4 linked regions of the Alligator mississippiensis genome follow. The protein of the gene in region 1 interacts with the protein of each later gene in a pairwise test. Links are inferred from orthologs where the notes say so. Each region holds a gene or a part of one and is shown in the gene's direction. Other genes may lie near its edges. The genes, in order: TRIM54, MYO5B, MFAP1 and SPG21.

Region 1 (6,878 bases):
GGGGCTCCGCGCCTCTCGCCGCCGCCGCCGTTTTGTACCAATAAAGCGTCACCGCTCCGCCGGCTCCGCGCTGCTTCCCGGGGGGCGGGGCGGGGCGGGGCGGGGCCTGGCTGTGGCTCACGGCGGGGCGGGGCGGGGCGGGCGCAGCGCGCAGGCGCCGGCGGGGCGGGGCGGGGTGGCGCGTGCGCGGTACAAGGTGCGGGCGGCCAGGTCGGAAGTGGCGGCGGACGCGGCACGGGTGAGCGCGGGGCGGGCCGGGGCCGGGGGCAGCGCTGGGTCTGGGTCGCTCCGTCCGGTGCGTTGGGGCTGGGCGGGGGCTGGGGCCGGTGGGCTCCGGGGTGGCTGTGCTCCCGGCCTGGAGCCGGGCTGGGCGGCTCCGCAGAACGCGGCGGCGGTGGGGCCGGGCCGGGCCGGGCCGTGACGCGACGGGCGAGGCGGGGCGGGCGCGGCGCAAAGCCGCTAAGGCTCTTACCTGGCGCCTGCGCCGCCGCGTGCGGCCAAATCCGGGGGCACCTGGTGCCGGGCCCGGCCGCTGACCCCCGCCCGCCCGCCCGCCCGCAGGCAGGATGGCGGAGCCCGGGCGGCCGCAGCGCAAGATGTCCCGGGCCGGGGAGAGCCTGTACCGCGTCCTGGGGCTGCCGCGCGGCGCCTCGGCCGACGAGGTGAAGAAGGCTTACAGGTAGGGCGGCGCCGGAGCCGGGGCCGGGGAGTTCCGCGTCCGCGGGTGGGGCCGGGCCGGCCCGGGCTGGGAGCAGAGCACCGCACCGCACCGCAACACGCGTGTCCCTGCGCCGGGAGCGGGGGTGGCCCCAGCCTGGCGGGGGGGGCAGGGGCACAGGAAACTGTACTCGGCCCCGGGCGCTGCCCCGCTCTGCCTGTGCCGCACCAGGGCCTGACCCAGCCCGACGCGGGGCAGCAGGGCAGCTCCGGCCCCTGCGAAGGGCTGCGCTGGCCGAGTGCGCGGCTCCCCAGGGCGCAGGCTCGGGGGGTGTCTCAGGGCCACGTGGGCTGGGCTGGGCGGCTGCCTCGTGCGGCCCCTCAGCCCCCGCCTGCCCCGTGGCCCGGCAGGAAGCTGGCGCTGAAGTACCACCCGGATAAGAACCCCGACGACCCCGAGGCGGTCGAGAAGTTCAAGGAGATCAACAACGCGCACACGACGCTGAGCGACGAGAACAAGCGGCGCGTCTACGACGAGTACGGCTCCATGGGGCTCTACGTGGCCGAGCAGTTTGGCGAGGAGAGCGTCAAGTACTACTTCCTCATGTCCAAGTGGTGGTTCAAGGTGAGTCCGGCAGTGCCGCCCGCCCAGGGGCCTGCTGGGGCTGGGGGCAGTGCCGGGCCGGGCCGTGCCCGCAGGAGGGTTTCTGCCGTGGCCCCGTGTCGGGAGGGACAGGCTCTGCAGCCCAGGGCGCTGGGGCTGGCCTGGGAATCTCACCGGGGGCTCCCGCGCAGGCCCTGGCTGCGTGCTGCGGCATCCTCACTTGCTGCTGCTGCTGCTGTTGCTGCTGCTTCTGCTTCGGGCGCTGCCGCCCGCCCGAGGATGACGATGCCTACAAGTACGTCAACCCTGAGGACCTGGAGGCCCAGATCCGCGCTGAGGATGAAGGTGAGGCACCGCGGGCACCACTGCTCTCCCGCAGCAGGCGAGGCTGCTGGGGTCTTGGAGCTGTCGGGTTCTGGCCCAGGTTGACGGGGAGACGGAGCCCTGTTGCCCCCGTGGGGAAGCCCGGATGCTGTCGCCAGGGGCCCAGCTGGGGGGGACGGGGAGTTGACTGCTCCTCGTGTCGGGGTGTCACTGGCTGCCCTGAGGACTGGGCCCCCTCCTCAGCCAAGGCGTCGTGGAAGGGCAGTGCCAGGCTTCCCTAGCCTTTCCCCGAGTGCCTCCTGTACTGTGGGGCAGCCGGGGCTGGAGCAGGCTCTGGGCAGGGCCTGTGGGACCTGCTCAGCTTCCCCTCCCCTAGCAGCAGGGCATGCTCTTGTCCCCGAGCCTCCACCCCCGGCTCAGAGGCAACAGGCCTCCTCCACCCTGGGAGCCAGCACCGAGGTGAGCAGGCCTGGTGCCAGGCTGTAGTGCCGGGAGTGGCCAGTAGGGCGAGCCCCGCCTCCCTGCGGGGAGGGCTTGGCTGGGTACTGCTGCTAGGGGGTGGGGGCTGTGCTGTGTATGGTGCAGCCCCCAGCACCTTTCTCCCTGGTCAGGTGGCGGCTGCTCATATTGGGACCAGTGGCTAGGGAAGGGACCAGGCTGCCTGCCCCCAGCCCTGGGCATGGTGCGGTGCTCCCTGCTGCATGCAGCGGGCTAGCAACTAGGCACAGGCTGCCTCAGCACCAGGGTGGGGTGACCACAGCTCCTTGCAGGCCTTGGCCTGGTGGCGCTGGGCACAGCCAGCTCACACTTGCTGCCCTCAGAGCCCAGCTGGCCAGCAGGAAGGAGCTGAGGGTGCTTGCGGGTGAGCAAGGCCCCACTGGAGCATGGGGGGGAAGACTGGTGGCCTGCGGCAGGCCCCAGTGCTGGCCTGCACCTCATGCAGGGCCCTGCTTGTGGCTGCCGCCATCCTCGGGCTATGCAGCGTGCCCCAGGCCTGGCTGCTCAGGTGGTGCCCCCAGATCTGGGCCAGCACCAGTGACTGTTTTTGACACCCGGGTCTGTCCTGGTGCTGGGCTGGTGCCTCTGGGCTTGTCCCAGGTTCTGGCAGCCGAGGACAGCTGCCCCTTTGGCTTCAGTGCCTCTAAGCATAGACTAGGCCTGGCTTGGTCTGGGGTTGGGAGTCCCATGGCAGAGGTAGAAATGTAGGATTGGCTTCTGTTGGCCTTGGGAGGGGTGAGGCCTGTGCCCCTCACAGTCTCTGACCCTCTGCTTTTGCCCCGCAGAGCCCCGCAGACCTATCGTGGCACAGCCCCCACCAGCAGCTACCAGAGCAGAGACCCCACCAAGCGCCAAAGCCCAAACAGAAAAATGAGGCTAGTCCATGTCCCGGCGCCTCCACCAGGACTCAGCGCGGGGCTCCCCCCCAGTTGTTGCTGCTTGGGCATCCCTGTCCCGCTGCGCTGGCAGCACTGGCCCGGCAGCCTTGCCTCAGCAAGAATCTCAGGTTAAAGGGGCCAGCGCCAGCCTGGCTCCCCAGGGCCCCCTGCTGCCTGGTCACACCTAGTGGTTGTGGGGGCTGCATAGTAGCCCGGAGCCCCCGGTACTGCGGCAGCTCCCCATGCTTCCTTCACCAGCAGTGACACTGAGCCCCACGGCAGGGGGTCGCCCTCAAGGCCCAACCAGAGACCCTGGCCGCAGCCCCACCCTGTGCCAGCCTGGCCCCCACTCACCAGCACCCCCCCCCACACCAACTCCCCTTATAGTCCCCCCTTTGGCCATGTCCCCAGGCCTGTGGGTGCCATGTTCTCCAGGGTGGGGCCTGGCTTACACAGCCTGCCTGAGAAGCACGTGTGTGGAGGCCGGCTGGGCCGTACTCCGCCTGGGCATGCGTGAGACCGGTAGCACTGTACCTGACCCCCCGGCCGGCAGCAGCAGGGCTCGGTGTCCCAGCAGGGCTCCTCCCTGCATGCTGGGTGCCAAAAGCTGCTCCCGGGGGCGGGAGCACAGCCCCTTCAATGTAGCACCCCCTTTCCTGCGCCCTGGTTTGGCCCTGCGGCTTGGCCAGCGCTGCCTGGCTCTAAGCCGCCACCCAGGCCCTTTGGTCTCACCTGGGCCCAATGCAGCAGGGTCGAGGAACCTTTTGTATGGATTTTATAGACACCATTAAAGGATGAGCGGAGGGCATCTGCCTCACTGTATCTGTTTGTCCTGGGGCTGGGTACCCCCTGCTTCTCCTGCCCGTGCTGCAGCCTCTGTGTCCTGGCCCCCCTGTCAGCAGGTCTCCAGTGCCCTCAGCCCAGGTCGTGTCCATTGCACCTGCTCTGGGGGCTGCTTGCACTTGGTGCTGGGTCCTGTTGTCTGCTTCAGCCCTGCTGCTCATGCTGCCACTCACCCAGCCTGTGCCCCACACCCTGTCTTAGTCATGGGCATCAGGCATCGCGGCCCATCACTGCAGCTATGGCTATCTCTTGGTGGGTCCCTGTGCTTCCCTAACTCAGTGGGGAGACAGAGGGTTCCCAGAGGATGTGGCCCTTGTCCTGTCAACTGTGGAGCTGCAGGCTGCCCTCTTCTTCCTTGGCTGCTCTTTCCCCTCACAGCATGGCAGGGGGTGGGGAACTTATCATGGCTAGGGTGGGCTCTGGCACCAGGCCCCAGCTCTGGCCTCCCCCAGTGGTGCTGCCAGTGCTGGGAGCAAGTGTCTGGGCCCATGGGCTGGGCTGTGTGCGAGGTGGCTGCGCCACACTAGGGTAGGGGGTGGGGGCTGCCCCTGCCAGCACTGGTGGGAAGCTTCCCACAGCAGAGACCTGTGCTGCAGCTTGGAGCTTGGACCTAAATTTGCCTGTGGGCTCGGTGCCTGGGCTGGGCCTGGTGCCACCTGCAATTGTTCAAGGCAGGTAGTGTCCTGCCACTCGGGCTTGCGCCCAGCACGGGCTGTACCCACCACTGGAGCCCAGGCCCTGCCTCACTACCTAAATATAGTGCTGGAGGCTCCCTGCCAGGATGGGGGCCGGGGGGGGGCACTAGGCTGGGCTGTGCCCCCAGCAGAAACAAGGGTCTAGCGAGCGGGTTCCAGCAAAGATGGGGGAGGTCCCTGGTGTCTGCTTCACAGGTTTACAGAAGCTTAGGGACTGCTGTTTGCTGGGTGGCTGCAGCGGCCAGGGGGCCTTACTCAGCCCCAGCTTCTCCCAGCTGCCATCCTCCTTGCACCCAGCTCCCTGGAGGGGCTCAGGTGTGCGGGGGCCAGGGCCTGGTGCTGGGGGAGGACCCTGTGCTAGATTTCAGACTGGCAGTGCTGGCTCTGACCAAGTTATGTACTGGCTCCCTGTCTCCCAAAGCCCAGGCCCAAACAGGGGGCACTTGCTGAGGCCCAGGGTGATTGCAGGACTGTGGCCTGGTGTCTGGGCATGTCCCCAGGTGTGGTGTCCCCAGGCATCGCATGCTAGCTCCTGGGATGTGCCTAGCACGGTGTGCTGGCTGGAGCTCCCTGTTTAGAGCAAGCCCAGGCCCCAGGGAGAGAGCAGTACCCCTTGCTCCCATGGCCATGCTATCCCTCACTGCCTGTGGACCTTGCTGGGCTGTGGGCTGGGGCCTGCATCCCTGGGCCACATCTGTGGCTGTCTGCTGGGGGCAAGAGCAGTGGTGTTCCATGGGCACATAGGGCTGGGGCCTTTGTCCCAGCTCTGTAGCTCTGTCCTGGTGGCAGAGGTTGCAGCGCGACCCAGGAGCATGGGGTTGGGGCCTGGGCTATCCCCTGATGGCCACGACACCCCCCCAGGCCTTCCCCACATTCCCCCTTGCCCCTGGCGGAGCCCTCAGCCTCTGCTAGTAAGGCCCTCAGCACCCTTCTTCCCTGGGCTGGGGGGCAAGTAGGGGGTCCCATGGGCTCTCCCAGCACAGGCGCCTGCCTGCCCCATGCCCCTCTCCCTCCGGGAGTGTGTGACTCAGTGTCACTCGACGCTACTGACAGCTGCAGCCGCAGCCAGGGATAAAAATGGAGCTGGAATTTCAGGGATGCTGCACAGCACAAAGCTCAGCTAAAATTAGCCCCTGCTCTCACCCTTGCGGGGATGGGCAGAGGCCAGGGACGGGCAGCGGAGCCCCAGACGCGCTGGGGGCAGCTCCGGGACGGACGGAGAGAGCAGGCAGGCCGAGCACGGGGCAAGCGAGCTGAGAGCAGGAACTGCCGGTGGAGCTAGTGGGGCAGACAGGACAGGGCAGACAGAGAGGTACTGGGGCAACCGGACGGCAGGACAGGCCGGCGGCAGTACCGGGGCAGACAGAAAGGGCAGGGCAGACATACTGAGGTACTGGGGCGGCAGGACAGGCCGACAGCAGTAGTGGGGCAGACAGCCGAGGCCAGGCAGCCCAGTGGTGGTAGTGGGGCCGAGGTGCAGTGGGGCAGGCAACGCAACCGTGGGGATGAACTTTGCGGTGGGCTTCAAGCCGATGCTGGGGGACGGGCAGAGCATGGACACGCTGGAGAAGCAGCTCATCTGTCCCATCTGCCTGGAGATGTTCACCAAGCCTGTGGTGATCCTGCCCTGCCAGCACAACCTGTGCCGCAAGTGTGCCAACGACATCTTTCAGGTGTGCCCGCCGGCGGGGCTACAAGGGCAATGGCCCTGCTGGGAGCCTGGGGCAGTGTGGGTTGGGGACACGTGGACCCCACGGCTGGGCCTGGCCCACCCCCCCGGCGCTGACTCGGTGTCACACCTGGCCATGCTGTGTCACCCCTGTGGCTCTGGGCTGGGATTGGGGTGGGGACATATCGGGTCCCTGTGGCCTGAGGCACAGCCACGTCCCCGAGGGGCTGTCTGCAGGGTGTGTGGGCGCTGCAGCAGAACTGTGCTTGTAGCCCCCCCGCCCCCATTACTGGGAGGCTGGCCCCTAGCTGGCAGCTCTCTCAGGTGAGGGGCTGGGGTCTGGGGGTCGCCAGGGAACAAGGGGTTCTGGGGGCCTGGGCCCAGGCTGGGAGTCCAGGCCTGTCCTGCCAGGCTGTGCTGTGCTGCCTGAGCCCGCCTCCCTTTGTCCTGGCCTCTGTGCTCGGGCTCCTCCTGCCCTTCCTCAGTGTTTACCAGCTAGATATTTATAGGCCAGGCTGGCTCCCAGCCCATGGCCCCAAGCAGCTCCAGGCCCTGGTGCTGCCCCCCACACGCAGGCCAGGCTGGGGATCCATGGGAAGGCTGGGGCACTGCTGGGCCCGTCCATGCTGTGGCCTGTGGCCGTGGCTGGAGCAGGCAGAGCTCCTGGCTCCCTTGCTCGCAAGCTGGTGGCAGCAGGGCACTGTGCTCCA
Region 2 (7,472 bases), on another chromosome or scaffold:
GGGATGCACCCTCTACCCACTGCAGTAGTCTGGCAGTGGGGGCTGCTGCCTGGCTGTGACCTGGTGCTACCTGCAACAGCATCCGCCCCCTTGGACCTGCTGCCCCATGGCTGCACACCTGCCAGACCCAGACAGGGACCCCCTGGCCGACTGGGCTGTGATATGGGCACTGTAGCAGAGTTGCCTGCACCTCTGGGCCAGCTACCAAGAGTGATGCTATTTAATTTCCTGTAGGCCACATGCACCATGTACTGGCCCCACTTAAAAATCTTAGAGGACTTTTTCAGGCCTTGTCCCATCTTCAGTTTGCCTCAATTCTAGGGCAGAACTAGAACTCTGCAAGAATGAGCACGAGAGGCAGGCAGGAGTGGGACACATCCTAACATCATCTTTGATATTCACTTCCAGGTCTTATGATGTCAGTGGCATTATAATATGCACACATATCGCTGCCAGAATGAAACTCTGACAAACGCTTAATTCGGGGGAACATGCAGATTTAGAATTCAGAGACATTCATTGACATGCACAGCAGAGCTATCTCTGTTGCACCCAGAAAAACTTAATTAAATTATTATGTTTATCAGGCTGCTCTCTGCCTCACAGTCAATATTGTTTGAGAGTCAGGGTCATGTTATGAAATGTGCTTCCTAGCAAGTTGTGCAGCAATCGTGCAGTTCCAGTATCTTCTATCAGGTACTGATGATTTTAAAAAATCCATTTTCTTTAGAATAGTATAACCAAAAAAAGACACCTGAACAGCTCAGACTGTTACTTGAAAGACCTGCCACAAAAATCCAATAAAGTGTAGCCAAAAAAACCCAATTCAGTCATAATGCAAATAAGTTCATCACTGTCCCACGCACACTGAAATACATCCTTTTCCTCTTCACCTGTGACCTTGAAGAAAAGCCCTGCAGCATATCCAGAGCACCAGCCAATCCAGGCTGTTGTGGAACGGATGCAGGTGAGAGACAGGTGCATTGCTATGAAAGGGCTCTAGGAGCATGCTTTGATTAACTCCCACTGCAGCAGGATAGCTCAGCCACAGAGGTGTTCTCTCAAATGGTTATTTAGGACTATGAAGGTCAGCGCCAGCCTCAGCAACTTACCTCCACTTGCAATCTGCAGACAGCCAATGTCAGTTATGAAGCACTGATTGAATTGGCCGGTGGCAGGATGCTCCACTTACTAAACCAGCTACTATACCTCAAAGACGTTTTACTTGTATCTTTACAGTGTCAGCTAAGACAACTTTAGTTGCTGGCTAGAAGACTGCAAGGCTTACCCTCCAGTATGGACCTTGTCACTGTAACATTTCTCATCGTTGTCAAGTGGAAATGCAGGAGGCAGAAGCACAAGTCAAGCACCAAGGCTAGGAAAGCGCAGAACTGTTTCACAAGGGTGGGGATACATGGCTTAAAAGCAGACACTTAGGGACAGCTACAAACTGGAGAAGCTACAGGTAGCCAAAATTCAGTTGAAACAAGTGGGGTAGTGGGGTTATACCTTAGTGCTCAGTGACCTGCAGCCAATGGCTCAAATGGACTCGACCAGGAGTCAGGATGCTCTTGGCAGACTTTACATTGGATGCAAGCTATTGGGCCAACAGCGCTTGGTATCTTGAATGCATGGTCCTAAAATGACATTGCTTTGCTCTTCCCGAGCATTTGGGAGATGGCTCCATGTTTTCAGCAGACATCTGCAAATCAAGTGTAAAAGTTTGTTTCCAGAATGGAAACAAATTTTAATTTTCCCAGAGAATTTTGTAGAAGCCAGGACTTCCAGCAAATTTCTGAGTCTTGTTTTACTTGCAATTAACGTTTTAAATGAGTGCAATAAATTCGCTAATCTATATTTCATGTGAATTGCTGTGTTTTGCATCTGTGCCGTTATCTGTGCCCAGCTCTCATTTTCAGTTTTGTTCCTAATGATATTGGTATTTCCTATTCCTTTTCCATGTTTGATATAGAATCACAGAACTGAATAAAAGAACAAGAGCAAGTTAGGCTTACATTAGAAACCCTTTCCCATAACAGTACCCCTGCAATTTATTCCAATTTAGCTACAGCAGTTTCACATATGTGGATAGATATTTGCCTAGATTTCCATGGTAATCTTAAAGGTCTTACAAAAATTACAGTACAGGAATCAAATACGTTGTCCAGGTTAATTCCCAGATTGGAATCAAGTTAGTGCAGCAGTGGTTAAGAAACCCAACAGTATCATGTCTTTAATGGCAAAACCATGGAGAATAGATACGCTGATGTCAACCAAGCCCTCTGCTCAGGCTGTTATTATGGTCCAGATTCACTCACAAAGTGGTAGGATATCTGCTGGGGGCCTATCAGCAGAAAACAGGCACAAGGTCCTCTACAGTTGTAGAGCCTGCAGGGAGGTAGAAGAGCCACTGAACAGGGCACGCTGTTATGGAACGGCAGCTGCGTGTTGTCATGATTTATTATTTCAACCAGACACCTCTGTAGCCCCTGTATGGGACTTACAGCAGCCCTCTCCTGGCTTAAACCCCTTGGAGACAGCCTCTCCCTTCCTAGGAACATACCTGTGGCCCCAAGTGTCACCTGGTGCCAGATCTGTCTCTTTAAATCCTAGACTTTGAAGTGAGACATACAGAAGATTGAAGTTGGAATTGCATAGGAGCCACTAATACATCTCTTGCAAACTGCTACTAAATAAAGATTGCTGCAGAGACTGAGGCTACCCAGAAGAGGGCACAAGAAAGCTCCAAATGGACGGTGTTTGAGAGAGGATGTTCCTGGAGCTAGTCACAGAGCGATGCTGTGCTTAAACTTTATTCGCCGACTATCAACTTCTCACAACACTTTAAATTGACAGTTCTCATATTGATTTTTCCCTGTGTTGTTTCCCACATTTCCCTGAATGTAGCTCTACCTCTGCTGGACCCTTTGCAGTGGGGATCCAGCCTGCAGGCTGCACCTGCTGATTCAGGGCATAATGCCGTGGCGGTAGGAGAGGCAGGCTGTCTTTGGGGTTGCCCTGGTGTGGATGAAGGTTGCCCCCTCCAAGCTCAAATATCAAATCTGCTGCGACTGGCCCCCATGTATCACTCGGGTGCGAGGCAGCAATTGTGGGAAGGGAAAGAGAATGAGGTTTTGTGTTGATGCAAGACAAAAAAAAGAGCATATTTGCATGGTGCCAGGGCATGAGGAGCTATGGGAAAAGGCTGGCAACTGAACTGTTCACTGTGTTCAGACGTGGTCCGCGTTTCTGTTCAGCTACAGCACTGCATGCTGATGACATGCAGCAAACTGCATAATCTCCAGTCATTTATAGGAAACACACCAAAGACCATGAAATAGTATTGTGGCAGAGCACGACCTCCAGTGAGCCAGCTCCTTGCCACCACGGTCGCTGCCCCCATGCTATAGACACCTTAACGTGATTCCTAACAATAACAATTAATAATCCTTTATTTTAACCTTTCCATAGCACCTTCCTTCTGCGGACACAGCACACGCTGCACACATTAACTATGTGACACATGACGAGTCTCAGAAGAAAGAAGAGCTGTGTTGTCTAATGGGCAAAGTGTTGGACTGGGATCCTGGAGACCTGGGTTATATTCATGGCTCTGTCTTGGACCTGCTGGGTGACTCTAGGCAAACTGCTTGATAGATCTGCCTCAGTTTCCTGATCTGTAAAACGGGGTAAAGTACTTTGAGCTCTACCCATGAACACATATTTCACTTGCCATCTGAAGAAGGCAGTTGCTTTGTTGCTGACACTAATGTAGAGCGGTGGTTTTCAGCCTGTGGTCCAGGCACCCCCGGGGTGCACGGACCATCTCTAAGGGGTCCGCGGAAGACAGCGCTGATCAAAAAGCGCGTGGATCCCCACTGACGAGTCAAAGGGTCCGCACCCGCATTTGACATTCCCTTCAAACGCCTTGAGGGGTCTGCCAATGGAGAGAAAGAGGAGTGAAAACCACGGCGCTGGACTGAAAGAACAAGGACTGTCCTCCTTTACGACTGCACGTCCAGTCAGAGGAACGACCCGCGCTGGAGATCAGCCCGGACGCAGCGCCGGCACCGTCCGGGCGCACGACAGGCCCCGCGCGGTTTCTTGTACGTAGCAGAGGAATGACCCTGGCCCTTGGCCGCCAGCGCCTCCCCGGTCCTGGGTCACAGAAGAGCTGGGAAAAGGCACGAGAGACGCGCCGCAGCGCAACACGGGAAAAAAAAAGCAAAAAAAAAAAAAAAAAGGAAAAAAGAAAAGAAAAGAAAGCGCGCGGACCCATTTCACAGGCCCGACCACTGAGGCAGGGCGGGGGGCGGGGCGGGGTGAGGCGGGGCCCGCCTGGGGGCGGGGCGGGCCTTTCCTCCACCTCCACCTCCGCCTCCTCCCGGCTATAAATCCCTCGCGGAGGTCGCGGCGAGAAGCCTCCGGGTGCGGCGAGCGGAGCCGGGCCGGGCCGGGCCATGGCGCCAGCACCAGCCGCGGGCCCCGCCTGACCGCCCGCGCCACCCCCGCCCCGCGCCGCCCCGCCCCGCGCCGGGCGGACGGACATGTCGGTGAGCGAGCTCTACACGCAGGTGAGTCTCTGCCGCCGCCGCCCCTTCCCCGCCCGGCCCTGCACTGCCCTGCCCGGGCTCCCGGGGGCCGCCGTGCCGGGGCAGGCCGGGCCCTGAGGGGACAGCCGGCCGCCTCCCGCCTCCCTGCGACCTTTGCAACCGCTCTAGGTGCCGGCTCCCCTGCCCCCAGCCCGGGGCCAACCGCCGTCCCCTGCCCGCAGCCCACCTGCGCGGGTGACAGCCCCCCTCCCCGACTCGGTGGTCGTAGTCCGACTGCCAGGATTTCCTCAGGACCCGCCTCGGTGGAAACCGTGCGAATGGTTGCGGGGGCCGGGCCGCCCCGAGCCCGGGCGGGCGAGCGAGACGCTGCGCTCCCCGCGCGCGGGCTGTCCCTGGGCAGCGTGGGGTGTCCTTAGCGGTGTCCCAGCCGCACACAGCCACAACGGGATCTGTCCCTGTTCTAGAAACTTATCAACCGTGTCAAAGCAGCATCAAGTAAAAGGGTTAAAGTCAGCAGCACGGCTGTGCTGCGCTGATCCCGGCGTGTCTTGTGGTACGGGAGTAAAAGAAAAACCAAACTCATTCAGGGCGGCTCTCCTTAGTGTCCCAGCCGGTCACGGCACTGATGTGCTTCTGTCTCGCGCTCCTTGTGCGAGAGCCCAGATTTTAAGTGGAGACAGCGTAGGGAAGGATATCGTTTAATATTCCTGGTCCGGTGTTTTGTTGTTTTGGATTTTTTTTATTTGCATTGCTTGGTCTTTGTGTTTTTGTTTGCTAAACGTTCAAGGCAAGTGCGGCTTCACCCTGGGAGGCTGTGTGATCGGGAGTGGAGAGCGTACCCAACTGTATTATCCTGGTTTCTGCCTCCGCTCCTGTTCCTCCTCCTTCCCAGCCTTTGGTGAAGTTCCTCTGCCTCAGCGTCCGGTTGGGAATCTGAGCCATAGGTGCTGGGAGCGCCTGGGGGTAGGACTCGGAAGCTGTCGTGCAAGTGTGCGGTTGTTGATCAGTGTTAAGTGTGGCGCTCGGCTGAGCAGATCCGGTTATGCAGACTCCCTGGGGTCCAGTGCGCGCTGCAGGCCTGTGACTTGCGAAGAAAACTCTCAGCTGAAAACAGCACACAAGTAATCTTTAGAGATCCAACGAGTGTCGGCAGGGGAAAGAATATCTCTTTCTCCCCCCCCCCCCCTTTCCTTCTCCACTGTTAATTGACATGGGGAAGTTGCTAACTAAGCAAGATGCAATGAACAGAGGGAGGTCACTTTTTTCCTAAGCTCAGTCTGATCTTAGTCCTTGCTTTGCCGACTTTGGTTTTGGGGCAGTGGAGGAGAAGGAAACTGCTCCTGTTCTAGGAGGGCAGAATTTCTGCCTGCCTGAGAGAGGCAGGGGGAGAAAAGGTAGCATTGGCTGAAGGCAGATCAGTAAGACTTGTGGTCGGGACGGGGGTAGTGGCAGGTACTTACAATGGTAATACCTGCCGGTCACCGAGGTGCACACCATTCTTTACGTTGCGAGTGCGTGGGGACTACATCGGCGTGCACACTTCTCAGGTGTGTCCCAAGAGCACATGTTGCAGGGGAAACGGGACTTGCTCCTGTGTGATCTGTCCTGGCTCTTTCACATGTTCATCAAGCCCCGCTGGAGCACTGGGAAGGATATAGCTGCTAAGGAAATAAATATGTCCTATTTTTCTCTTGCATTTTTATGCTTGTTCTTTGTTGGAAGCTGCTTCCCATTTCAAATAAGAAAGGGAAGTCTTGTATGCATGGAGGACCTCTGAGCACTCCTACGGACAGGATTGTCTCTCCAAGGGCAGGGGCATGCTGCTCTAGAGAGCTCCGAGAAATCCTTCCCTACCATAAATGTCCTTTCAGACAAGGAGAAATGTGTGTCCTCACATCAGACAAAGTTTCTTTTCCAAAGAAGTGAGCAGAGCCAAATTGCATTGAGTTAGCGTGGTTTTTTTGGAGGATGGATGCTTTTTTTTTTTTTTTAAACAAGGGGCATAGACAGGCTTACAAGAAAAAAAGAGCAAGCTTTATAGATGTTACCAAGTTCACTGTAATCATTCAGGCTACGTCAACAGGAGACTTGCCTGCGTGAGACGGAATGAAAATGGTTTTAGATGGAGAATCCTGCCTTTGTTTATGGGCTTTTATTTATACCTTTTTAATAAGAATATTTCCCTAGGGTCTTTCCATCTGATTCATTTGAAATAATGTGAGGTACAGGCATAGGAGAACTGCATGCCGCTGACCTACAAATAGCTTTTGCTGGAAGGTTGTAGAAGTGCTGGCGTTTTGCTTTGATCCCAGTCGGCGTGGTGGCTCAGCAGTCACCAGTCTGGAATCATGTCTTTCGAGGAATTTGTGCCCGTCTGCCCACCCATACTTGGCTCTGAATGTTAGCAGTTTTTAGTAGTGATCCTGCCCTGAGCAGGTACTTGACCTCTTTCTTTCTATGTACGTCTTCCTCACTGTTTTTTCTCTGACTTCCATGATTTGACTGTACGGCTGGCTGTGTGGTATTGCCACGTAGAATTGTCCCAAGCTTTATGGAAATCTGTTGTAGCATAGTTTATGAACTTTTTTTTTGGTCATCGCCCTGTCGGTGCTAAATAGGTCCATGATCGCCCGAGTCTTGTACGATGAACTACGTTCACGCACGAGTTTCCTTTGGATTGTGTGAAACTATTTCCTGTAAGGAAGGACTTTCAGAGTTGAGCCCTTGAACTGGTGAAGGACTATGGACACTTTCGGCTTCGGCGCGTCACAGCTCCAATTGGAGAGAACTTTCTTTCTCTTTCTTTCAAATGTGTTGACTGTTGTAACTGCACTCCTTGAACATGCCTGAAAGCATGATTTAGTAACTTGAGCAGACCGCAAGGAAGAGATGTAAGAAATTCCCGATTAGCAGAGGACA
Region 3 (7,711 bases), on another chromosome or scaffold:
AGCAGGCTCCGCGCTCTGGGCTCAGCACCCGCCGTGCGGCCCCCACCCCGCCGGGCGAGCTGTGCGTGCCCACCGCAGGAGGCAGCACCAGAGCCATGCCCCGCACACCGCTCCCTCCTCGCTCCCACGCAGGCTTCCCCCGCCAGAGACCCCTGCCCGGGGCAGACTGGACCCGTGCACCCCCACTCCCAAGCCACCTGGTCCCCCAGGGCAGACAGCCCCTGCCAGGGCCCTGGGCGACACGGCACAGGCCCCGCTCACCCCATGCCCATCAGGCCACAAGTCAATAGCACACACGGCGGGGGCGCAGAACGGGTGACCCAGGTGCCCGCCCCTGGCCTCGGCAGACACGCCTGGCCTTGCCGTCAGGGACAGCAGCTCCCGCAGGGGCCCCGGGGCCGGGCAGAGGCAGCAGAGCGCCCAGGCTGTGAGGGGAGAAGGCAGGGCCCCCGGCGGGCTGGGAGGAGACTCACCGGCCCCAGGTTGAGGAATCCATGCTTCCTGGCCAGCCTGTCAGCCTCTCGCGGCCCTGCCGGCACCCGCACTGCCCAGGTGTTGGTGTAGACGCGCTGCACGAGCACCTCCTGGGCCAGCAGCACCAGGGCCGTCACCAGTGTCCAGAGCAGGAGCAGCACGCGGGGCCACAGATCCATGAGCGCGCCGGGGTGGCCGAGCGCCGGGAGCAGGGGGTCCAGCGACGGCGCTTCTGCTCACAGCCGCTGCATGCCCAGGTGCCTGCTCTGCCTGGCCGGCCTCCCCGCGGTCCGAGGGATCATGGGGCTCACGTCCGGGCGGCAGCCGGGCCCAGCGGCAAAGACGGCAGCAGCCGGATGGCAGGGACAGACCTTGGCACCACGACCTGGGGGCAGGAGGAGTAGTGGTTAGACACGCCCGGGAGCACGTGGGCTGCCTCTCCCCGCTCCCTGCCGCGTGGTGGACCAATGGCGCTGCCAGGAGCATGCAGGCGCAGGTCAGCCCAAGCCAGGCCCGTGGGGGTCTCCGCAGGCAGAGGGAGCGCTCGATCTGCGCCACCTCCGCGCCCCCCGCGCAGCAGGGCCCCCGGCAGCCTCCTCTGCAGGCGCTGACCCAGGCAGCTGCTGCCGGGCTTGGGAGCGCGAGGTGGAGGCGGTGGCTGGCGAGAGGCCCGGGTGCTGGAGCACAGCGCGCTGTTTACCCTGCCTGTTGGCCAATGTGTGCTGACACGCGCGTGTACAAACAGAGCAGGGATGTGGCCGGAGCCGGGAAGTCACCTGGGCCAGCCCCGCGGCTGGGGAGCAGGGACCGACACGTCGCAACCCCCGCAGCAATGGGAGCGCAGCCCCGCGGCCCCAGGGCAAGGGCGACCGGTGCGGGTGCATCTGCGTGCCCCCCAGCCCAGCACACACCACCCCACAGCACCCCCGGCCCCGGCCCCGCCCGCGGAGGGGGGCAGCGCAGCAGCTCAGGCTGGCTCCGGCTCGGGCCTCCAGACAGCCGCTGGTGGAAGCCGTGGCACTCGCAGACCCTCCGGGGGCTTGCAGGCCTCCCGCCCGGCTCTGGGCACGGCGCTCCGGCTACCCCGGGGAGGCCGGGCCGCAGAGCCCTGGTGCGGCCGCACGGGGGTCTCCAGCCCCGCGCCCGCGCCGAGCACCCGGCAAGAGGACGTGCGGCCCGGCCCCGGCCCCCCCCGCCCGGCCGGCCGGCCGGCCGAGACGGCGCCGCGGTGACACCCGGTGACTCACCGCCCGCCCGCCCGCCCGCCTCCCCCTCGTCCCGGGCGCGGCGCGGCGCGGCGCGCCTGGCCGGCCGGGGCCCCGGGCAGCGCCGGTCCGCAGGGCCCTCGCCCCCTCCGCGGGCGCGGCGGCAGAGCGGGCCGGGCGGACCCGGGCACGGGCCCGACACACGCTGTCACCGCCCGCCCGCAGCTCCCCGGCCCAGCCTGTCCCGGGGCCCGCGCACCAGCACGGCCGCCTCCCGCCGCCTCGCCTCGGCCCGGCCCGGCCCCGGCGCTCACCTCCGCTCCGCTCCCCGGCCCGGCTCGGTGCCCGTGCGCGGCCGCGGCCCCTTTATGCTGGGCGGCACCGCCCCGCCCGGCCCGGCCCAGCGCGGGGGACGGGGACGGGGCCGGGCACGACCCGGCTGTCAGCACCGCCCCGCCCGGCCCGGCCCGGCCCGGCCTGCCCCGGCGCCGCCGGATGCCGCCTCCTGCCCGGCCCGGGCGCTCCTCCCGCGGGGCGGCGCCGGCGGCGGGGAGGAGCCGCGGGCCCGGCCAGGCCAAGGGCAGCGGCGGGAGCCGAGCCGAGCCGGGCCCCGGGCACACGTGGCGCTGCCCGCTGCCCGCCGCGCGCCCAGGGCCGCCACCAGGCCGCCTTGTCCCGCTCGGCCCGGCCGAGCGGGGAAGGGCAAGGGCCCGGCCCGGCCCCCGCCAGGCTGAACCGGGGTCGCTACCGGGGGCCCCGCTGCAGCCGACGGGCCGTGGCCGCCGCTCGCGGAGCGGCAATGCCCAGCGCCCCGGCCTCCCGCCCAGCAGGGCAGAGGCGCGGGCACCTGCTGCGGGGCGCACCCGAGGGACCTGCCCGCCACTCCTGGGCCGGTGGCACCCGAAGGCCCGATTCCCACCTTGGCTCGGGCCGCAGCCACCCGGCCTGCCCGGAGCAGAGCGCAGCGCCGCCCGGGGCTGCCCCTCTTGGGCCCGGGCAAAGGCCGAGGCTCCCAGGGCAGGAGCCAGCTGGAGCACAGCCCCCGCCTGCTGCCAGGCTCTGCCGGGACGGGACAGCACAGCACAGCACAGGACGTGCTGGTGCCCGGTTTCCAAGCGGGTCTAATCGTTTCACCTGCGGGGTCACGTGGCGCAGGTCTCTCCTTGCAGCCGCGCCGCCACCTTCCCACAGCGGGACGAACTGGGGCACCCGCGCCGGACCCGTACCTCGATGGGTGGGAGCAACAGGGGCTGCGAGCGCCAGGACCAGGTGCCCCCGAGCAGCGCTCCTCTGCAGCCAGAGATTGGGAAACAGCTAGCTGATGGCATCCCCGCGTGCCCGCACCCCCACGCGCTCGGTGCTGGCACCAGCCGGCACACACAGGAGCTCGCAGCACTCGATCCTGGCGGGCACTGCCGGGGGAGCCCACAGCAGCCTTGGCCGTGGCCCCGCAGCTAAGCCAGCTCACGCCCTGCTCAGGCTGCGACCTGCAGGACCGGCTCTGCCCAGGCCCTGCAGGCAGGAGCGCGTCTTGCTCCTGAAGCAGCGCAGCACGGCTGCGTTGTGCAACGCGCAGGTTTGCTCGGAGCCGCGCCAGGAGCGCAGCAGGGCGCGCCCAGCCGCCACGGCCAATTAGCGCGGGAGCGGCAGCGGGCTCCGCGCTCCCTCCCTTCCCGGGGGCCTGCTCCACAGCGGGGTTTCTTGTGGCCGAGCCGGGCCACGCCAGACCCTGCCACCAGCGACTTGCCCTCGAGGCCTCCGTGAGCCAAGCCCCTGCCCCCGGGGAGCTTTGCCTCGCGGGTACGTGGACCCCACGGCAGGCCATACGCCCAGGCGCTGCCCGCCTGCCAGGCTCCCCTCCAGGTGGCCCTGGCCCTGGCCCTGGCACCAGGGCCCTGCTCCCCCCGTGCCGAGGGCAGCCCCCGGCACCGCTCTCCCGCCCCAGCAGGGACGCGCTCACAAAGGACGAGCCGCAAGTGCCGGCAGCTGCCTGTGAAACAGGATCTCCCCGGGCAGGCATGCAGGGCCCTGGCCGCGCGCCAGGCTGCGACGGCGCCGCGCACCTGCCCCTGCCCCAGCCCCAGCCCCGCAGCTGCTCCGCGTGCCGGGCCCAGGCCCCGGGCTCGCAGGGGCCACGCGAGCCTCGGCGTCGGCTCCTGCACGTCCGCCATCGCCGGCTCGCTCGCCCGCCCCTGCTGCGCCCGGCGCCCGCTCTGCCCGGGAACCCCGAGCGACAAGGCCGCTCACGCCGGGGCCAAGGCGGCGCTGGCAGCGCCAGGCAGGCCCAACGCTGCGGGCTTCCCCAGCAGTGCCGGGGCCCAGCAGCCCGTGCTTGCTCCACAGTGCCGACCAGGCCCGGTGCTGCGAGCGTCCCCAGCAGTGCCCTGTCCACACTGAGGACAGGCCCACGCGCGCTCTAGCAGGGACTTGGCGCGCGTTTCTGCCGCCGGCTGCCGTGACACGGCGGGGCCCTTCCAGCGTCCTGCGGGCGCGGGGCAGGACCGCCACCCCTGCCCTGCCGGGAAGCAGAGGCCTCTTCCTCTCTTCCAAGAAGGGCAGGAGCGGGACGGGGCTCGCGGCCCATGACGCAGCCCCGGCCCGTGCCCCGGTGCCAGGCTCCTCCCCCGCACTGTCGGGAAGCGCCCGGCCTGGTTTCCTGCCTTGCGCGCAACCGGCTGCGGTTGACACCTGGTGCCTTGCACAGAAACCTCCTCGCCTGCCCGAAACTGGGTCACCCGCTGCGGGCCGGGGGCGGCCAGAGGCTACGCCCGCCTGGCCCAGGGCACGGGGCAGGGCACGGGCAGGGCCGCTCGCGGGGCGGGGCGGGGCGGGAGAAGCCGCCCACCTGCCTTGGCACAAGCACCACCCCAGCCCCGGGACCGACCCCACCAGGCCACTCTCTCCCACTTCCGCAAACTCTATCCCCTCCTTTGACCAGAGCCCCCACTTCCGGTCAGGTGGGAGGGGACCGCTGCCCTCTTCCGGTTCCGGGGTGAGGGTTCAAGTGCCGTCGGAGTTGACTTCCGCCTTGGCTTCTCCGCTGTCCCCAGCTTCCGGTTCCGGCGGACGGGAGCGGGTCTCGGTCTCGGTCTCGCTGTCGGTGGGTCCCGGCCGGGCCCGGAGCAGCCGCCGCCGCCATGTCGGTCCCCAGCGCCCTGATGAAGCAGCCGCCGATCCAGTCCACGGCGGGCGCCGTGCCCGTCCGCAACGAGAAGGGTGAGGGGGGGGCGGTATCGCGGGCCGGGCCGGGGGGCGGGGGTGAGAGGAGGGAGGCCGGGGCAGGCCCAGGCCCCGGGCCCGGCGCTCACCCGGCCCCTGCCCGCAGGCGAGATCTCGATGGAGAAGGTGAAGGTGAAGCGCTACGTGTCGGGCAAGCGGCCGGACTACGCGCCCATGGAGTCGTCGGACGAGGAGGACGAGGAGTTCCAGTTCATCAAGAAGGCGAAGGAGCAGGAGGTGGAGCCCGAGGAGCAGGAGGACGACTTCGCCAGCGACCCCCGGCTGCGGCGCCTGCAGAACCGCATCAGCGAGGACGTGGAGGAGCGGTGAGCCCTGCCCCGAGGTCCCCGGGAGCCGGGCCGAGCGTCTGGGGCAGCGAGTCGCCAGAAGCGCTCGGTAACAGTGCGGCCCCCCCATCGCCCCCAGCCCCCGGCCGTGCTTCTACGGCGAGAGAGCCGCCCGTCACGAGCGCGTTTCTATTTGACCGAAGTCCCAGGAGCGAGGTGCTGCGCGAGGCCACGGGCTGCCGCGGCGTTGCTCAGCAAGCGAGGAGCAGGCTCCCCGCGGAGGCTGTGCTCGTGGCACAGGGGAGGGGCGGCCTCCTCCCGGGCAGGCCGGCGGCTCGGTGCTCAACGGGGTTCACAAAAAATGGGTTCCTGCTGCCTTGCGAGGGAGTGCCCAAGCTGTCGAGGGGTCGGCTGCGGCTTGTGCTTCAGCACAGGCTGCGTTGCCTGATGGCACTCAGGGCTGTCACGCTTCATAGACTCGTAAAACTCGGGTCGGAAGGGACCTTGTAGATCTTCAGGTCCGACCCCTGCCTGGGCAGGAGGGAAGCTGGGCTCAAGTGACCCCAGCCAGGTGGACATCAAGCTGCTTCTTAAAGCCCCCCAGGGTAGGAGCCAGCACCACTTCCCTTGGAAGTCGGTTCCAGATCCTAGCCGCCCTGACTGTGAAGTAGTTCCTACGGACGTCTAATCTAAACCTACTCTCCAACAACTCGTGGCCGTTATTCCTTGTTATCCCGGGGGGCGCTAGGGGAAACAAGGTCTCCCCCAAACCCTTCTGGTCCCCCCTAGTGAGTTTATAGACAGTCACCAGGTCCCCCCTCAGCCTTCTCTTGCAGAGGCTGAACAGGTTCAGGTCCCGTCGCCTCTCCTCGTAGGGTCTGCCCTGCTGCCCCCTGATCATGCTGGTGGCCTCCTCTGGACCCTCTCCATGCTGGCCACATCCCTTCTGATGTGCGGCACCCAGAACTGGACACAGTACTCCAACTGCGGCCTGATCAGTGTCACGTAGATGAGGAGGATCACCTCCTTGGACCTGCTTGAGATGCACCTGTGGATGCATGTTAGCGCTGCTGACCGTGACCTTGCATTGTCGGCCCATGTTCATCTTGGAGTCAACGATGACTCCAAGATCCCTTTCTGCCTCTGTGCTCTCAAGAAGGGAGTTTCCCATCTTATAAGTGTGCTGCCGGTTACTACTGCCCAAGTGCAGCACCCTGCACTTGTCTGTATTGAAACACGTGGTGTCTTAGTTGCGTAAGATTCGCATGCAGGTGCCTGATCTGTGGCACTAAGGAAGAGCGGGGCCCAGATCCATCCTCCTGGTAACCGGTGGAGTCACAACAGTAGATTAGGAAGGTTGGGGTGAGGCTTGGGGCAGGTTTGTGGGGCGTTGGTACAAGGTGACTGAGGTGCTGGGTCTGGGGCCTGTCCACAGGCTGGCGCGGCACCGCAAGATTGTGGAGCCAGAAGTGGTCGGAGAAAGCGACTCGGAGGTGGAGGGAGAGGCGTGGCGCATAGAGCGGGAGGACAGCAGCGAGGAGGAGGAGGAGGAGATCGACGATGAGGTACGTGCAGGGGCGCAGCAGCTGGTTGCAAGTGTGCTGCCGGAGGTACTGGTGCCTCCGGGCCTCCCAGCCGGGTGGGACAGAGGCTGCTGCTGGCAGAACTGGACAAGGCCGCGGAGGCTGGGTGTCACTGTGTAGGCGGCTCGGACTGACCTTTTGGGCGACAGGCTCCTTCCAGTCCTCACTGCAGCTGGGAGGGGGCAGCAGGACAGAAGCTTTTGTTAGTCCAACACATGCCACAAACTTTGTCTGTGATGTGACAGAGCTGGAAGGGACTTGACCACTGGTCCCTGCTTGGGGTGGGGAAGCTCTGGAGGCAGAAGAACAGAGGAGGTGGAAGGGTGGTGGCCCTGACACCTTGGTCTGGGGTGGGCTCTGTCAGGAGATTGAGCGTCGCCGCGGGATGATGCGCCAGCGAGCCCAGGAGAGGAAGAACGAGGAGATGGAGGTGATGGAGCTGGAGGATGAGGGCCGGTCTGGGGAGGAGTCGGAGTCGGAGTCTGAGTACGAGGAGTACACAGACAGCGAGGACGAGATGGAGCCGCGCCTCAAGCCCGTCTTTATCCGCAAGTATGTGCCACAGCTGCCTGCCCGGGGAGGCTCTGGCAGCTTGTGGAGGGCAGAACGCCAGCCTGGGCCACTGTTCAACCTCTGCGTGAGGAAGCAGTGGCTCTTCCTACCACAGAGCAGTGGCAACAGGTGCCTGAGCTGGAGAACCAACTAATGGCCCCTTGGGTTCCAGCCCCAGGTTGGGTGCCAGGCCTGGCATGTTGCAGCTCTGGTCCCCAGGGGATGAGCATGGAGCAGTAAGGCTCCAGACAGCCTTGCCATGCTGCAGCCAGCTCATCAGCTACTATCACCCCCTTCCTCCCCTGCCCCCCCAATCCTGAACAGCCTGGGTGGGGAAGTAACAAAGCAGGTCTGCCTAGAGCCAACCCAGAGGGGTGACCTCACCGCCATG
Region 4 (7,871 bases), on another chromosome or scaffold:
GTCGAATCCCCGAACAAAACCCAATTCTGATTTCTTAATGTTTCGTTCGGGTTGCGGTCGACTCGGTCGAACTTTGCAAGGCCCAACCTACCTGACAGCGGCCCTTCGAACCACGGGAAGCGCCGGACTAAGGGTCCTACCAACATTGTGCAACGTGAAAAGCTTTTGGCTGGAGCAGGACTGGCCACAAGAACCAGAAACGGGACCAGCGCGGGAGTCGGCTTCTTTGTGCAAGGTTTAGCTGAGATTTCGCAGCCCCTGATACACGGTGCAGGCCCTTAAGTTAAGAACCACATGCTCCAAAAAAGGCTCTCCCGATGCCTGAAGAGGGGAGTGGGGGTTGTGCCTGGAAGCTTACAAAGAATAATTTTGCAACTGTTTTTCAGTAATAATAATAATAATAATAATATTTAAGTGCAGAGATTTTTAAACCGACCCCCTCCATGAGGCCCATAATAACAATAATAACGTGCAGAGGTGTTTAAAGCGACCCCCCACGAGGCCCCCGCCCGGGGGAAGATGGCGGAGGGGCCGCAGCCCTGGGGGGGGCGAGGCCGAGCCCCGCGGGAGGCGCTGAGCGGCCGCGGGGCGGTTACCTCTGTGCGCCGAGGGCAGCGAGGAGCCGAGCAGCCGCGCGGCAGCGGCGCAGGTGCTACAGCCGGACATGGCGCCGGCGGCCCGCGGCCCCGCCGCACTAGGCCCGTCCAGTAAACACCTCCCGTCGCCTCGCCCAGCCCTCTGTGGCGTCACGAACCTCACGTCCCGTCCCCTCAGAACTACAACTCCCGGCAGGCTCCGCGCGGGGCCCCGCGCCCGCCGGCCGCTTGGCCCTGCGCGCGAAGCCTTCTGGGGCGCGTAGGCGCCGTGGCAGGGAGAGGATAGGCGCGGGGCATGGCGGGCCACCGGGATCGCTGCATGCCGGGAGTTGTGGGCCGCTGGACGGGAGCGCGCGAGGGTCAAACGTGTGCGCGGGGAGAAGCGCTGATAGTGGTCGCGAGAGGTGACTCAGCGCTTGCAGCCTCCACGTGGCCGAGCGGGCACAGCGCTGAGTCAGCCCCAAGCTGTGCGTGCGCTGAGCCCCGCACTTGGTTTGCTGCTGGGTGACAAAGAACTTCCTCGTGTTAGCTTTAGGCGTACAACCTACTAGTTTTATTGTGCGACCCCAAGTTTTTGTGTTGTGAGAATAAATATTAAGTCCCTATTTCATTTCCCTTCACCGTTTAGGTTTTTTTTTTTACGGGTTTCCCTCGCCAACCACGATTTTGAGTACCCACACTTAATATTATATTATATATATATATATATATATATATATATATATATATATACACACACCATTTTGGCTAGCACAGTATTTCAAGTAACCACGGTTTTTCGTGGCTGTGGCTGCCATTTTTCCCATGCGCTTTTTGTCTTGCCAACCAGGGGGAACTTTCAGGAACCTGACCCCAGCGGTTGGCGAGGGAAACCTGTACACTTTTATCATGTCCCCCCTTTTCTAAACTGAATAGGCCTGGCCTCTTTACTCTCTTCTCATCCAGAAGCCCCTCCATACCACTGATCATCCTGATTATAGGCAACACGCAAGGGGGCACAGGTGGGCATGTGCCCCCCGACCCTGAGATTGACCACTGCCAGCTTCTGTCATTCATGATCCTGATTGCCAAACTTCCCTGGACCCTCTCCAGTTCTATATTCTTTCTGAGATGTGGGGACCAGAACTGGTCAGTGTTCAGTTGATTCACTTCTTCAACATACATAATAACCATGACTTTCCCAGCCTGGTGAATCTGCAGCCTGGACACTAATGGTTTCTTATGACAAAATTAATTTGTGTCATGCACTTGGTCCAATAGAAGATCTCTTCCACAAGAATCCTTACCCCACAGCAGTGACCATTGACTGTCAGTGCAAGCTACTAGTGACTGCTTGAGGCACTGCAGACCACGGTTGAGGGAAAAAATTGGTACAAAATGAAGCTGCAAAGGAAGCCAGCTCCTGCCAAGCTTGGGAAAAAAAGTTAAAAAATAACAAAATCACCGCAACCCAGTGTTAACAACGGCAGCTGATGAAGTGAGCTCAGTCCCACAAAAGCTCAGGCTACACATCTCTGATTGAGTTACTCCTTAGCTCTATTCTGCCTTCTGCCTAACACTAGAACAGAACATTTCTGAGAAGAGATCCAAAATCAAAACATAGCAGTTCCCTTCAGAAACACCATTACAACCCTATTGCCATCATTCTGCTGGCTTGAACAACTTAACTGTGGTGGCTTGGTTCATTTTTTTGTTGTGTAACGTTCTTCTACAGTTGTTTGTTCTGTATTTGATTGAAAAAAAATATTTTGAATTTTGAATGACATGGCATACATAATCCCCCTTTCTGGATGCTTCCCTGAGATATAAGCAAGAGATCTAATAGTGCTAACATGTAATATCCAAATAGAAGACTTGCAATCAAGAAAAGGCAGAGATCTTAGCTTCAGCCTTATTTATTCTACCTAAACAGTTCAACATGGATGTGTCAATGACCTGGTAACTCTACTAGAGCGATTTTCAAGCTGAAAGCTTATATGACCTTTTAGAGAGGTAAAATCACCCTTCCTGATCCTCCTCACTACTCTCCTGTGCATGGATCGAAGAATACAAAGTTCTTTGGGTAAATGTGATATATTTTAATAGACAAACTAAATAGTTGTAAAAATTGTTCCCTGCAAGCTTTCAGGCACAAACACCTCTCTTCAGGCATAAGGAAAGTCTGCTGGTGTTGTGTGCTCCTAGGTGTCTTAGAAAAGATATGTCATTGTTGAGTCTGGCTTCTTTAAACCTGTCAGCTATTACATTATAGCAGATGCTTACATTGAGTTGCTTGTCCACTATAACCCTTAAAATCTTAGAGCCTTTTCAGGGATGTTGCATTGAAGGATACATCTCCCTATTTCGTAGCTATGACCATTTTCCTTGACATATAACAGGGTATTACGGAATATATTTTTTACACAGGCCCAGCTCACCAAACAGTGCAGAGGTCCTCAGTAGAAAAGCTACCAGTGTGATGTCTGAAGAGAGAATTTGTATGAAATGCATCATATAAGCCAGGACCCCAATGCAGTGACCATTTGCACATGTGAATAGCATATATACAATGAGCAGTACTGTTGAAGTCAGTAGGACAACTGTTGTGTGAAAAGTTCAGCAAGTGTATCAGCGTTCAAGAGATCGCAGACTTCAGTTTTATCATACTGCATTTGTGATTTTTTCCCCCTGGTAGGTGACAGTAACAGCTCATTACTTTTCCTTTCCATACACAGAACAAGAACCCGAACAAAACAAACCCCTTCAAGAAACAGTTTTCAAAACTTGTATTAGCAATAAGCTATTTTGGTTTACAAACTTAGATCCAAATATTCCCTTTAGGGGCATGGGTAAGTTCAAAATGATATGTGCATGGAGCAGGGAAAAGGCGACATAACACTATTTTATTACTCTTTTCAGTCCTGTAATCTCCAAAGTATGATCTCATTTTATTTGAGGCTTTCTACATGTGTAGCCATGGCTGAGGGAAGAGTTGTTCTCTGTAGACACCTCTTTTCTTGACATTAAATACTTTTCAACAGTATTCAACTGTGTTTTTTTTTAAAACAGAGAGCAGTTCTCCAGATAGAGCCATCTGGTGGGTTTATGCCACAACAGCTGCACATACACTTGCTCTATAAAATTAGTCAATGACATTTTTTTTCCCTGGTCCTGGCCATTCCTGGTGGAGAATGTAAATCCACTGTCCACTTTCCAAGCACAACTGCCTCCAAATTAAACCAGTCTGCCATCTCAGTTCTGTAGTTTTGAACTATGCAGCCATCCAATATCAGATAAGGTGACTGGAGCCAGCTCACACCAGGACAGATACGGCCTATGGACCAGCCAAAATTCACTGAAAAACATCAAGTTCTACTCATCACGATCTAAACCCTAATGGCCAGCTTGCAAACGAGAAAAACATAACTTTCATCAGCTTCTTTTGTAAAAATTGAACCAACAAACCCGTGGCATCAAGCGGGCAGATACCTCCATTGACAATACTAGAGCTGCAAGTCTGCACCGGAGAGCAGAGTTTGGCCCTTGAATTTTAGCACAGCGGTTCTCCACCTTTTCAGACTCGAGATCCCCCTCCAGAGGCTCAAAGCCTCCCACAGAAAATGCCAGCTCTTAGCTTTCACTCGTTTGACTACAGAAAAACAAGAGCCATTGCCCTGTTGCAAAGAATCAAGAAACCCCGCAACTGGTCAGGATGGTTAACGCTGGATCCCCGCGTGCAAACAGCATTTCTCTCGTGAATCGTGACCTAGCAGCGCTAACGGTCTGTGGCGCCCCGAGGCACCCCGGGAAGGATCTCAAGGCACCCGACGGTGAGCCGCCGTTCGACCACGTGCGTCCCGCTGTCGCCCCCCAGCAATGAACTTTAGCCAGGGGGTAAAATGCCGCTGGAAAGGGGCAGGCTTTCAAGGACGCTCTCTGGAGGCCTCACGCTGCTTGGCGGTCTCCCACAACCCCAGCTCTCCGAGTCCTGTTAGCACTACGAAGACCAGACTTCATTTTCTTTAAAAAAACCCAACAGCCTGAGCATACTGAGAAACCCTGGGCACACCCTGAAGGCTCAGACGCCAGGAAAAGAGAGGAAGGAGCCCCACACCACTCTCGTGATGTACCTTCATGATGCTCCACCTGCAACAGCCACACCTGCGCATGCGCCTCGCCCCAGTCCCGTGCGCATGCGCACTCTCCCCCCTCCTGGGCTGTGCCTCAGTAACAATGGCGGCCCGGCGCCTCGCCCCGCCCCTGCGCGTGGTCACGTGGCCGGCGCGTGGCTCCGCGGGAAGGCGGTACCCGGAAGTCGCGGCTGGAGGCGCAGGCAGCGCGGTCCGGAGCGGAGCGCTCCTCCCCTCCCCCCACTCCCTCCTCCGTGAGGGGGAGCCGGTACGGCGGCATGGGGGTTGGGCAAGGTGGGGGATGGGCATGGGCTGGCGGGGCACTGGGCCCGGGGCTGGGCCGAGGGCTGCCTAGGCGCTGTCTCCCGTCTGTGGGGACGCGGGCACAGGCTGGGCAGGGGTAGCGTGGGGGGTCTGTGCTGCCCGCGCGCCCGTGTAATTTCTGTCGTGGCTTGTGGGACCTAGACAAAGAGCCAGTGTTTTCCTTAAATTGGTTTTTAAAACTTGTTTGGTTTTTTTTAAAGACGTGCGTGGCACCATCCTGGACAGCTCCCTGCGTTATGTTCCCTGCCTTTGAATGAGCTGGGAAATCGGATAACCAGCAAAGTGTCGTGGTTAAGCTTTCATGGTGATGGTTATTCACCTAGGAGGCTTTTAACGTTGCGTTTCTGCGGAGACTTGCCTGCGCCGCCGCCGCTGCGCAGGAGCCTCGCAGGAATTGAATTTCCTATCGCCGACGTTGTTTTGTAGCGGTGCACAGAGACGAATAGGAAGGAGCGCGAGCACGGAGCAAAATAGCTGTAAGATGGGAGCACGAGTCAAGGGGCAGTGGTTTGCGGTGTGTGGTAGTTGCCGTCTGGGTTTGGTTCGTATTAGGTAGCTCTCTGCTTCAGACAAACCACAGCTAATGCCAATTAGGGTTTTTGGTAACGATCTTGGTAGGAGCCCAAGGTTTAAAGGTGTGGAGACTGTTTCTTTTGAGTCTTATAAGGGGCCCCTGCAGGTTGGTGTTCAGGTACATTGGTGAGACCATGAGGATGGTAAAGAAAAATGCTTGTTCCAGTCCTGTTCTCTAGAATAACTCCGTCTCTAAGGTTGCCAATTAATGCCTTGCACTTAAATTAATGGCACTAATACAACCACTGGCAGCAAGAGAAGGGAGAGCGGAGAAGAGCTGGAATTGGCTCTCAATCCTGTGATGAATGAAACCATTTCTTTAGCGCGCAGTCCTGTCATCGAGCTAAACGGATGCTTCCTTACATTTCTCTAAAGAATTTGCTTATGTGCTCGCACAGTGGGACCCAGATCCTGACTTGGGCTTCTGGCCACAGCTATATAATAAATTAAAATACAGTGTGAAGCATACACTGCTCTTGCATTAAGGTGTCCGTGTGTGTTTTGCTTGCTTTCGCAATTTCTGCAGCATATTATTGCAGCGTTGTTTCCAAAAATGTTTGTTTTTTGCGTAGTGGCTAATCCAGACTTATGCAGGGGATTTAGTAGAACAAATTGCTCTCTTCTTTTTGCCTAATGACCAGCTGTCCTCCCGTTCCAGTAATATTGTGAGCCTGCTTCACTCGCCAGTCTGTTGGCTGGAGGCGGTGTTTGCTCTCCACTAACTTTTATGCGCTGCCAGGCTAGCACAAGTGGTAAAATACTTGACGCAAGCAGGAACTTATCCAAAATTGAAATACCAGTCAACCCAGTAGGGTGAGATTCTCACCCAATCTGGAAATATTTGTGATGTGGTGAAAATGAAATACTTTTTGCAGTTTGGAAAATAGTAGGTAAGAGGCATGTACTTCATGTTTCTAGTAAGTGTTTCTTCACTGTTTGTTCCATCTGTTTATAAACTAGCAAACTGGGATTGAATTCAAAAGAGCTGTATCTTAATTGCTTTTTTTGTATAGTGGTGGGAACAGATGAGGTGAATTTCCTTCATTTAGGGTCTTGTCTACAGAGAGAAATTGAGTGGAATATATGACAATTCTGATTAGAAATGAGAGTCAGTACCCATTTAATTATATCTGAATATTTGATTAAAAGAGCAAACACCTTATTTTCTTATGCTCTGTACACTGTGAAATTAAATGAATCTCTGGGGCAGAATTTCCCTTTCAAGCAACAGGTTACAAGCAGTCAGAATATAGCCCCAGTTTTAAGAATTATCCAGTGTTATTTGGTATACAAATAAAAGTGCTTAATCTATCAGTGCCATGGCGTTTCACTAGGCTAGTCTTGATTTCATTATTGCAAACAAATTGTGTCCTATATAGAACATGAAACCTCAATATATGGGTAATTTTGTTAATGCTTCTTTGTCTGGGGGGAATTGGCTGTAGTGGGAATAGTCCATCTACAATAGCTATTTCAGAATAAAGCTCCGTGTGTGGACACTTCTGGAATAAACTCTGTTTTAATTTTAGAATTATTACTTTGGCTGGGAAAACAGTTATTTTTCTGGAATAATTTTTTTTTTGGAATAAGTACACTAATTATGTGGAACAACTGTTGGATGTTGCTGTTTTGGTCGGCTTCTCTGTGAAGAGATGCCCTGAAGCTTTGACTGTTCTGTAGAACAGGTATCGAGTAATATGGAGGTAGTGTTGAAGCTTGCTTTCAAGAAATGCTTATGTTAGTTACAGTTGAATTAGAGCATGTGTCCTATATACTTGAATAATTGGAGGGCAAGGCATGAAATACGTGGGCATTTATAGCCCCTTTTCTGAACTGTTTAAAGTTGAATAGAAGCAATGATAAAAATGTCCACTTTTTAAAACAAGTTAAACCCTGAAATACTATCTTTCCCTTTCAGGAGCTGCTCCATTGGAATGGTCTGTAAGGAAAAGCTGCCTTTTTATCCCCGAAAGCTCCATCAGTTCATAATTAGAGGGTTAGTATATTAAAACATTCTAGTGATTGTATCTTCTGAATACCTTTTAAGTAGCTTCTAATTAAAACTAAGGATAACCAAACTTGACATGCATTAGAAACCAGCTGATAAGAGGTAAAAGCAAATTTCATCATGAAAGGACTCTTTGTATATACAAGGCTTCAGTGTAGTGGCTTAGTGCGAACCTGCATTCTTTGCCTAAAAGATGCCATATCTTTGTTTCAGGTTTACCTAAGTTTCATCTAAACATCATGGGAGAGATTAAAGTCTCTC

What was found.
Region 2: the proteins of TRIM54 (region 1) and MYO5B interact in binary tests that used the Homo sapiens proteins (3 or more experiments, as listed by UniProt). The two-hybrid records come from large-scale screens. The link is inferred for Alligator mississippiensis from reciprocal best matches to the Homo sapiens genes TRIM54 and MYO5B.
Region 3: the proteins of TRIM54 (region 1) and MFAP1 interact in binary tests that used the Homo sapiens proteins (3 or more experiments, as listed by UniProt). The two-hybrid records come from large-scale screens. The link is inferred for Alligator mississippiensis from reciprocal best matches to the Homo sapiens genes TRIM54 and MFAP1.
Region 4: the proteins of TRIM54 (region 1) and SPG21 interact in binary tests that used the Homo sapiens proteins (3 or more experiments, as listed by UniProt). The two-hybrid records come from large-scale screens. The link is inferred for Alligator mississippiensis from reciprocal best matches to the Homo sapiens genes TRIM54 and SPG21.

The regions. Positions count from the first base shown.
Region 1 is NC_081824.1:196,422-203,299, reverse strand, and holds the start of TRIM54 (tripartite motif-containing protein 54), read left to right. Parts: upstream 1-3,873; 5' UTR 3,874-6,004; coding exon 6,005-6,172; intron 6,173-6,878. Other genes in the region: DNAJC5G (dnaJ homolog subfamily C member 5G), read left to right, coding at 567-679, 1,069-1,282, 1,453-1,606, 2,869-2,957. UniProt on the Homo sapiens protein: May bind and stabilize microtubules during myotubes formation.
Region 2 is NC_081826.1:288,437,909-288,445,380, forward strand, and holds the start of MYO5B (unconventional myosin-Vb), read left to right. Parts: upstream 1-4,465; 5' UTR 4,466-4,547; coding exon 4,548-4,574; intron 4,575-4,779; exon of another isoform or gene 4,780-5,639; intron 5,640-7,472. UniProt on the Homo sapiens protein: May be involved in vesicular trafficking via its association with the CART complex. The CART complex is necessary for efficient transferrin receptor recycling but not for EGFR degradation.
Region 3 is NC_081834.1:741,845-749,555, reverse strand, and holds the start of MFAP1 (microfibrillar-associated protein 1), read left to right. Parts: upstream 1-4,701; 5' UTR 4,702-4,816; coding exon 4,817-4,895; intron 4,896-5,004; coding exon 5,005-5,224; intron 5,225-6,620; coding exon 6,621-6,750; intron 6,751-7,132; coding exon 7,133-7,320; intron 7,321-7,711. Other genes in the region: furin, read right to left, coding at 474-653. UniProt on the Homo sapiens protein: Involved in pre-mRNA splicing as a component of the spliceosome.
Region 4 is NC_081834.1:6,522,825-6,530,695, forward strand, and holds the start of SPG21 (maspardin), read left to right. Parts: upstream 1-4,867; 5' UTR 4,868-4,973; intron 4,974-5,229; exon of another isoform or gene 5,230-5,505; intron 5,506-7,520; 5' UTR 7,521-7,598; intron 7,599-7,823; 5' UTR 7,824-7,849; coding exon 7,850-7,871. Other genes in the region: CLPX (ATP-dependent Clp protease ATP-binding subunit clpX-like, mitochondrial), read right to left, coding at 92-146. UniProt on the Homo sapiens protein: May play a role as a negative regulatory factor in CD4-dependent T-cell activation.